Linked DNA regions of Mus musculus. The protein of the gene in region 1 purifies or fractionates together with the protein of each later gene. This does not show direct contact. Links are inferred from orthologs where the notes say so. Each region holds a gene or a part of one and is shown on either strand. Other genes may lie near its edges.

The links.
Region 2: the proteins of Tesk1 (region 1) and Rabepk purify together in Homo sapiens (affinity purification with mass spectrometry; 3 studies listed by BioGRID and IntAct, with this or other methods). This does not show direct contact. The link is inferred for Mus musculus from reciprocal best matches to the Homo sapiens genes TESK1 and RABEPK.

Annotation. Positions count from the first base shown.
Region 1 is NC_000070.6:43,445,149-43,448,763, forward strand, and holds the end of Tesk1 (dual specificity testis-specific protein kinase 1), read left to right. Parts: intron 1-135; coding exon 136-226; intron 227-374; coding exon 375-458; intron 459-580; coding exon 581-670; intron 671-790; coding exon 791-920; intron 921-1,465; coding exon 1,466-2,349; 3' UTR 2,350-2,927; downstream 2,928-3,615. Other genes in the region: B-cell differentiation antigen CD72, read right to left, coding at 3,117-3,267. UniProt on the Homo sapiens protein: Dual specificity protein kinase activity catalyzing autophosphorylation and phosphorylation of exogenous substrates on both serine/threonine and tyrosine residues.
Region 2 is NC_000068.7:34,793,223-34,797,038, forward strand, and holds part of Rabepk (rab9 effector protein with kelch motifs), read right to left. Parts: intron 2,108-3,816; coding exon 1,950-2,107; intron 1-1,949. UniProt on the Homo sapiens protein: Rab9 effector required for endosome to trans-Golgi network (TGN) transport.

The DNA.
Region 1 (3,615 bases):
AAGCCTCCCAGGGGTGCCCTATACATGAGTGAACCCCCCAGGGGTATTCTCTGTGGATGGAGAGGAGGCTTGCCCCATCCCCTTTAGTTTGGGGGAGATGTCTGAACTGGAGATGTGACCACCCTGCCTCTGCAGGGAAGGGACAAGGAAGGAGCCCTTGGCTGTGGTGGGCTCCCCGTACTGGATGGCTCCAGAGGTGTTGCGGGGAGAGCTGTATGATGAGAAGGTAAGAGACCTTGAGATAGAGCCCCATTCAACAACCCTCCTATATAGATTTGGGAACCCCCAGCCTTCTCCCTTACCCCTCACTGCCACCCTTCCAACATAAGATAAACACTGACTCCTCCCCCTTGGCATGGTCCACCTACCTCCAGGCCGATGTCTTCGCCTTCGGGATCGTCCTCTGTGAGCTCATCGCCCGAGTGCCTGCAGACCCTGACTACCTACCCCGCACTGAGGTGAGGTAACCTCTGCTCTGGGTGCCTCAACCAAGAAGGGCTTTGTGGAGCTTGAGCCTCACAGTGGGGCACATGGAGAGCCCACTGAAGGCTAACTGGCAGCCCCTCCTCTGTCCCCACAGGACTTTGGCCTGGATGTGCCTGCTTTCCGAACTTTGGTGGGAAATGACTGTCCGCTACCTTTCCTGCTTCTGGCCATCCACTGCTGCAGCGTAAGTGTCACCCCTTCCCTGACCACATCCCTGAGTTGTCTTCTAAAACCGGGGAGAGAATGGTGGAAACTCACTGTCTTCATGAGCCCTGAGCGAAGCTGCCCTGTCTTTATCCATCAGATGGAACCCAGCACCCGGGCCCCTTTTACTGAAATCACCCAGCACCTGGAACAGATCCTGGAGCAGCAGCCTGAGGCCACGCCCCTCGCCAAGCCACCCCTCACCAAGGCTCCCTTGACATACAATCAGGGTGAGTGAGCATGACCTTGACCTCAGCAGAAGTCCTGCCTCTCCTGAGAGTCAGTTCTCTGGAGGAGGCTAATTGGATCTCTGAGGTAAAAAGGTGGGAAGTCAGGTGGGATGGAGAGGCATCTCACAGAAGATGGTTTTCATTGCTAGAGCCCAAGGCAGCAGAAGGAGGAAAGAAAAAGTAGGTAGAAAAGCGGAAAGGAGGGGCTGGTGAGATGGATCGACGGGTTCAGGCATTTGTATAAGGACTTCTAGGCTCTACATCATGGAAGCAGAAAACTGACTCCTGAAAGATGTCCTCTGACCTCCGACCTCCATGATAACTTTAGTGTCCTGTGGTTCATAGTTCACACACGTGTTCATACAGACACATGAATACTTTTTTTTTTTTTTTAGTAAACAAGGTAGCTGGAAATAACAACTGTCCCTTCCAGAGCCCCTGTAGGACTTCCTTTCTTAAGCTCTTGTCCCACCACCTGCCTGGAGATTCAGGGCCTCAGCTTGGAGCAGATGCTGGGAACAGTGATGAGACCTCTCTTTCTACAGGGTCTGTTCCAAGAGGAGGTCCCTCTGCCACACTTCCCAGGCCAGACCCCCGGCTCTCCCGAAGCCGGTCAGACCTCTTCCTGCCACCTTCGCCAGAATCACCCCCCAGCTGGGGGGACAATCTAACACGAGTCAACCCCTTCTCACTGCGGGAAGACCTCAGGGGTGGCAAGATCAAGCTGCTGGACACACCCTGCAAGCCGGCCACTCCACTGCCCCTGGTTCCACCATCACCACTTACCTCTACCCAGCTGCCCTTAGTGACCACTCCAGACATCCTGGTCCAGCCTGAGACCCCTGTCCGCCGCTGTCGCTCACTACCTTCATCCCCTGAGCTTCCCCGACGGATGGAGACTGCACTGCCAGGTCCTGGCCCTTCCCCCATGGGCCCGACTGAGGAGAGGATGGACTGCGAGGGCAGCAGCCCTGAGCCAGAGCCCCCAGGCCTGGCTCCCCAGCTGCCTCTGGCTGTGGCCACTGACAACTTCATCAGTACTTGTTCCTCAGCCTCGCAGCCCTGGTCTCCTAGATCAGGACCTCCCCTCAACAATAATCCCCCTGCTGTGGTGGTGAATTCCCCACAAGGGTGGGCTAGGGAGCCCTGGAACCGGGCACAGCATAGCCTTCCCCGGGCAGCAGCCCTGGAGCGGACAGAGCCCTCACCGCCCCCATCAGCTCCCCGGGAGCCGGAGGAGGGGCTGCCCTGCCCTGGCTGCTGCCTTGGCCCGTTCAGCTTTGGCTTTCTATCCATGTGCCCCCGCCCTACCCCAGCTGTTGCCCGCTACCGCAACTTGAACTGTGAGGCGGGCAGTCTTCTCTGCCACCGAGGGCATCATGCCAAGCCACCCACACCCAGCCTGCAGCTGCCTGGGGCACGCTCTTAGCAGTGAGGCCTGTGAGCTCAGGCTTCCAACCTTGGCCTTCGGGATACCCTGTAAGGACAGTGCACTTGCTGGACAATGCCAGCCCCAGATGGGCTGACTAGCTCTTCTCCCCGTATAGGGGAGCCTCAGCATGGTCTCAATGGACAGAGCACCTCCTAGCCGACCCCTGGGTTCACTGTCCCATTGGGATCACCGAACTAGACACAGCATTGCTGACACACAGGACTAACACGTGCAAAGTATTTAAAAATATTTCAATAAAACTGCCTGGCTGGCTCCGGGCCATCCATCCACTCAGCGGAGCGCCCTCCCCTGACCCATCTCTAGTTTGGGAAGTTCTTAAGGAAGGTCAAGTCTTTTCTGGAGGCTTCTTTACTCTTCCCAAGAGAAGTCCAGTTTCTGGAGCAGCTTTCAAGCAAGCAGCAGGTCATCCCTTAGCTGGGCATGCCCGAGAGTGAGGGAGTGCTGGAGGAATAGCAGTCTTAAAAATTGGCAGGCCGTAGGTTAAGGATGTAGGTCACAAGGTCTTGTTCAAGTGTCTGGAAAATAAAGCATCAGTGAGCTTCAGTTGACTGTCATTAGCTCTCCTCATCCTATGTTCCCCAGCTCCTCTTCTGTTCCAGGCCACATCTGTCCCCATGCCCTGCCCTGCCCTATGTAAGCAGACTGAGACGCTGAAGGTGATGGATGTGACAGATGAGGGGACAAATTTTCCCTCTTGTCCTCTGTCCACACACCCATGCCTAATCTCCTCTTGCTTACCCGTTTCAGTTCAGATTGATCCCATCAGGAAACCTGAAAGCCTCCGACTCACAAATGCAGGGGTGAAGCTCTGCACACTTGGAAATTGTTCTTTCCCACTTCTGGTAATATGTTTTTATCCTGACACAATGTCGGCTTTGAGAGTCAGAGTCCTGCCTGGTGAACAGAGTTGGGATACACTTTAGACCCCTGCAAGCCCCTCCCTTCCCTTGCTCTTTGCAAAACCTAGTCTAAATTCTAGCTCCTGCTAGGCCCACATGGTTCAGGAACAGGTTTCTGAACTAAAGCTCCCAGAGGCCTTAAGACCACAGAGGAAAACTGCACTTAAGGAGCTGGGTGCGATGGTGCACACATTTAATCCCAGGAGTCAGCACTCAGGAGTCATACATAGACCTCATACTCCATGGAACATGAGGCAGTCACCCTGTCTTGGGGTTCCTGGAGCAAAACTGCAGCAGCTCTGCTTTCCTGAGAGAGTTCTAGTGCCCCAGTTGGCGTAGACTG
Region 2 (3,816 bases), on another chromosome or scaffold:
CGTGGTCACCAATTTTCAACTTCTGCCTTTTGTACAGCAGCATATAGCACATCATCATAATAGTTTATTCATAGCTTTGCTCCTTTGTTCATTCATTCATTCATTCATTCATTCATTCATTCATCTAAACATAAAGTGCCTGCCCTGGATATATGCTCTAGCAGTGGCTGGGGATACAATTATGAGTAAAACAGTCTCACTCTTTCTCCAAGGCTCTTAAGCTCTTGTGGGACATACAGGAAATAATCAGATGCACTAAGATCTTGGAAGGAGGAAATGGGAGAGTATATGACTCTATGGATATGGAGGAATATGGTATCCAAACCAGTCTAGAGCTGGAGTGCTAGCTTCCAGACAGAAGGGGCACTGAGTCAGGGACCACAGAGAGATGACAAGGAAGGAGAGGACCTCCTCATGCAAAGGGAACAGCATGAGCGATGGCTTGGGGGACATGGATGCAGTTCAGCTGGTGGAGCACTGGCCTCACACACACAAAGGCAGGGTCTGGTCAGCACCATCATATAGACCAGGTGAAGGGGCTCAGATACATACTTGAAAGGTAAAGGCAAGAGAATCAGAAGTTCAAGGTCATGCTGTCAGCCTCACAGTGAGTTCAAGTCCAGCCCCAGCCCCATGAGACTGCTTCAAAACAAAAAAAACCACCCTTGTCCAAACCAAAGAGCAACACTTTCTGCATGGGTATGGGACATGCACTGTGCAGTGAGCTGACATGGAGGCAAGCAGACCAGAGGGAGAATGATTCCAGGGCTAGTGAAAAGACAGCAGTGGTGGGACCTGTGGTGGGAACGGAAAGGGACAAACACAGTGGGAGACAGTCAAAGCCAGGACATTCATTAGAATGAGGGCAGGAGAAATGATGCCTCCTAACTGTTAATACATAACCAATTTCGGGATTGCCAGGGCTCAATACAGACTGTGGTGGTTTGAATACGCTTGGCCCATGGGAAGTGGTACTACTAGGCAGTGTGGACTCGGAGGAAGTGTGTCGCTGTATAGGTGGGCTTTGAGGGTGTCTAGTGCTCAAGCTCCACTCAATGTGGAAGGAGTCCCCTCCTGGCTGCCTTTGGATCAAGATGTGGAACTCTCAGCTCCTCCAGCATCATGTCTACTTGGATGCTGCCATGCTTCCTGTCATGATGATAACAGACTAAACCTCTGAAATGGTAAGCCAGCCCCAATGAAATGGTTGCCTTTATAAGAGTTTCCATGGTAATTGTGTCTTTTCACAGCAATGGGAACCCTAAGACACAGACTCTTCTCCAAACAAGGATGCTAAAGGTCAGCTGAGATCGGAGGGACAAATATATTCTTCTCTTTAAGAGGAAAACTCTGTTGTCTGGTCTGAGTCGGTATTATTATTTGTGGTAGTTTAAATATGCTTGGCCCAGGGAGTGGCATTATTAGGAGGTGTGGCCTTGGTAGAGGAGGTGTGGCCTTGGTGGAGGAGGTGTGGCCTTGGTGGAGGAGGTGTGTCACTGTGGGGCTAGGCTTTGAGACCCTCCTCCTAGCTGCCTGAGGACAAGTCTGCTCCTGACTTCCCTTGGATGAAGATGTAGAATTCTCAGCTCCTCTAGTGCCATGCCTGCCTGGATGCTGCTGTGCTTCCTGCCTTGATAATGGACTGAAACACTGAAGCTGTAAGCCAGCCCCAATTAAATGTCATCCTTTAGAAGAGTTGCCTTGGTCACAGCTATAAAACCCAAACTAAGACATTTTATTGCTGTTGTTGTTCTTATTGTTATTATGGTTCAGAGTCATTACTATTGTTGTTGTTGTTCAGGGTCTATGTTTTCCTGGCCTGGAACTTGTTATATAGACCAGGCTAGCTTCAAACTCCCAGGGGCTATCATGCAAGAATTCACAAGAACTGTACCACGATACCCAGTAGGGCTGGTGTTCTTAGGAATGCTCTACAGCACTGATCTTACCCAAGTCCATGGTGTGTACATCTGAGAAACTTTGGTTTGGATTTGCTCCCCCGACAATGAAGATCTTCCCGCTCTCGGCATCACCAACTGGGGGGAAATATGAGCAGCTGTGGCCAACTCGAGGGCAGGGCCTGTCTCCAGGGCAAGTCAAAGTGTACCTGCCAAAGGGAAGGCATGCTCAGGAGGCCGTGCGAGAATGTTCTTCCATTCCTCACAAAGGATGAAAGGCCTGGCACACATACTCACGCTTTAGGATATAATTACTATCATATGTGAGCAAGTGCCTGTGTTCAAGTGTGGGCTTCAGTGCTTTCTAGATGGGAGGCATTAGGGTAGTCACCTCACCTATTCGAACCTCAGTTTTCTCTACTCTAAAGCCAGGGTTACTATAGTTCTCACCTTCAAAGGGGGGTGTGATGACTCAGACAGAGCCTGGGAGGGTGCGGGGATAGATAGGGCACTATCGAATTCACAGGGACACCCTGGCCAACAGCCAACGATGTCTCCCTCCAGAATACACGGATTAAGCCTCATAATTGTAAAAAATCCACTAAAAGACTTCCCAGGCTTGGATCCTCCATCAAATCTAGGAACTTACGTCTAGGATTCAGACTACAGTACAGGGCCAGAACATTCACCGCTACATTTATTTTGATGGTTAGTGGGGGGGGGGGGGGGGAAGTATTCCAAACTTTCTGATTGGAAAGAAACAAAAAATTAGTTTCTGACAGTGTCTCTTACAGTCTAGGGTGGCCTTAGATTTCCAGGTAGCCCAGGATGACCTTAAATCCCTGATAGTCCTGCCCCTATCTCCCAAGTGTGGGGCTATAGGTGTGGGCCAGGGCACACAGTGAACATGGATATATCCTGACTCCAGCTCCTGTCTTGCTTGACCTCTCTGATGTTGGTGCTCCTGAACGTCCCACTTTCCTTCACCTTTTCCAGAACCTAGATTCTCCGCACCTCTTCCTCCGGGTGTGTACTTCCCTCTGACAGCTGTTTCCTTTCCTCTCTGACGTGTCTCCCACCAGCCCCCTCAGAACTGTCAGTATCCTAGGAATCCCTTTCCCTCTGCCTTTTTGCTTTTCTGATTCATCTGTCCTGGTGGTTTCTATGGACACCCATCTCCATCCCTATCAGTGATTACAGGATCTCTCATTCTTGTCCGGATCTGTCCTGCATGTGGATTTGTGTTCATGAATACCCCTTCTTTGTTTTCACAGTCAAAGAAAAGTTTTAACATAAAAGTTCTTTCTGTCTTTATTGTTTTCTGGAGAGCATCTTACTCCATCATCCAGGCTAGCCTTGGATTCTCAGCAATCCACCTGAATACTTGATAGTCCGTCTCAAAACAAAACAAAGCTAATCTTGGTGGCCATGCCTGTGATCCCAGCACTTGGGAGGCTAGGAAACGAGGATTGCTCAAAATTCGGAGCCAACCTGGGCTACATGAGAATCTGTCTCAACAACAAATCAAACAGCAAAATAAATAAATAAAGACATCTGAAGTTGGATGGACAGGTACATACAGGATATGCAGGGCCTCGTTTAAGGTTCCTGCTTTGTCGTATTGTTCAGGGAGAGGGATGGAACTATTCATACTAAGCAGAGCTCTATAACCAAGCTACATTGCCAGTTCTCTATTGGGTTTTACCCCGGAGCATGTCTCCAGAGCACGTGTGATGGCTCTGGAGCAAGGTAATTGTGGGAAGTGGGCATGGAGGCTCAGTTGGAGTCAGTGGGACCTTGTCCACCCTTCTGGGATCCCCTCAGTGCAGGTCACACTCCATCACTTGCTCTGCCTCTAGCTTCAATACATAGGGACCATTTGCCTTAGGGCTTCGGAGCTTTTACAGTCTCATCACTG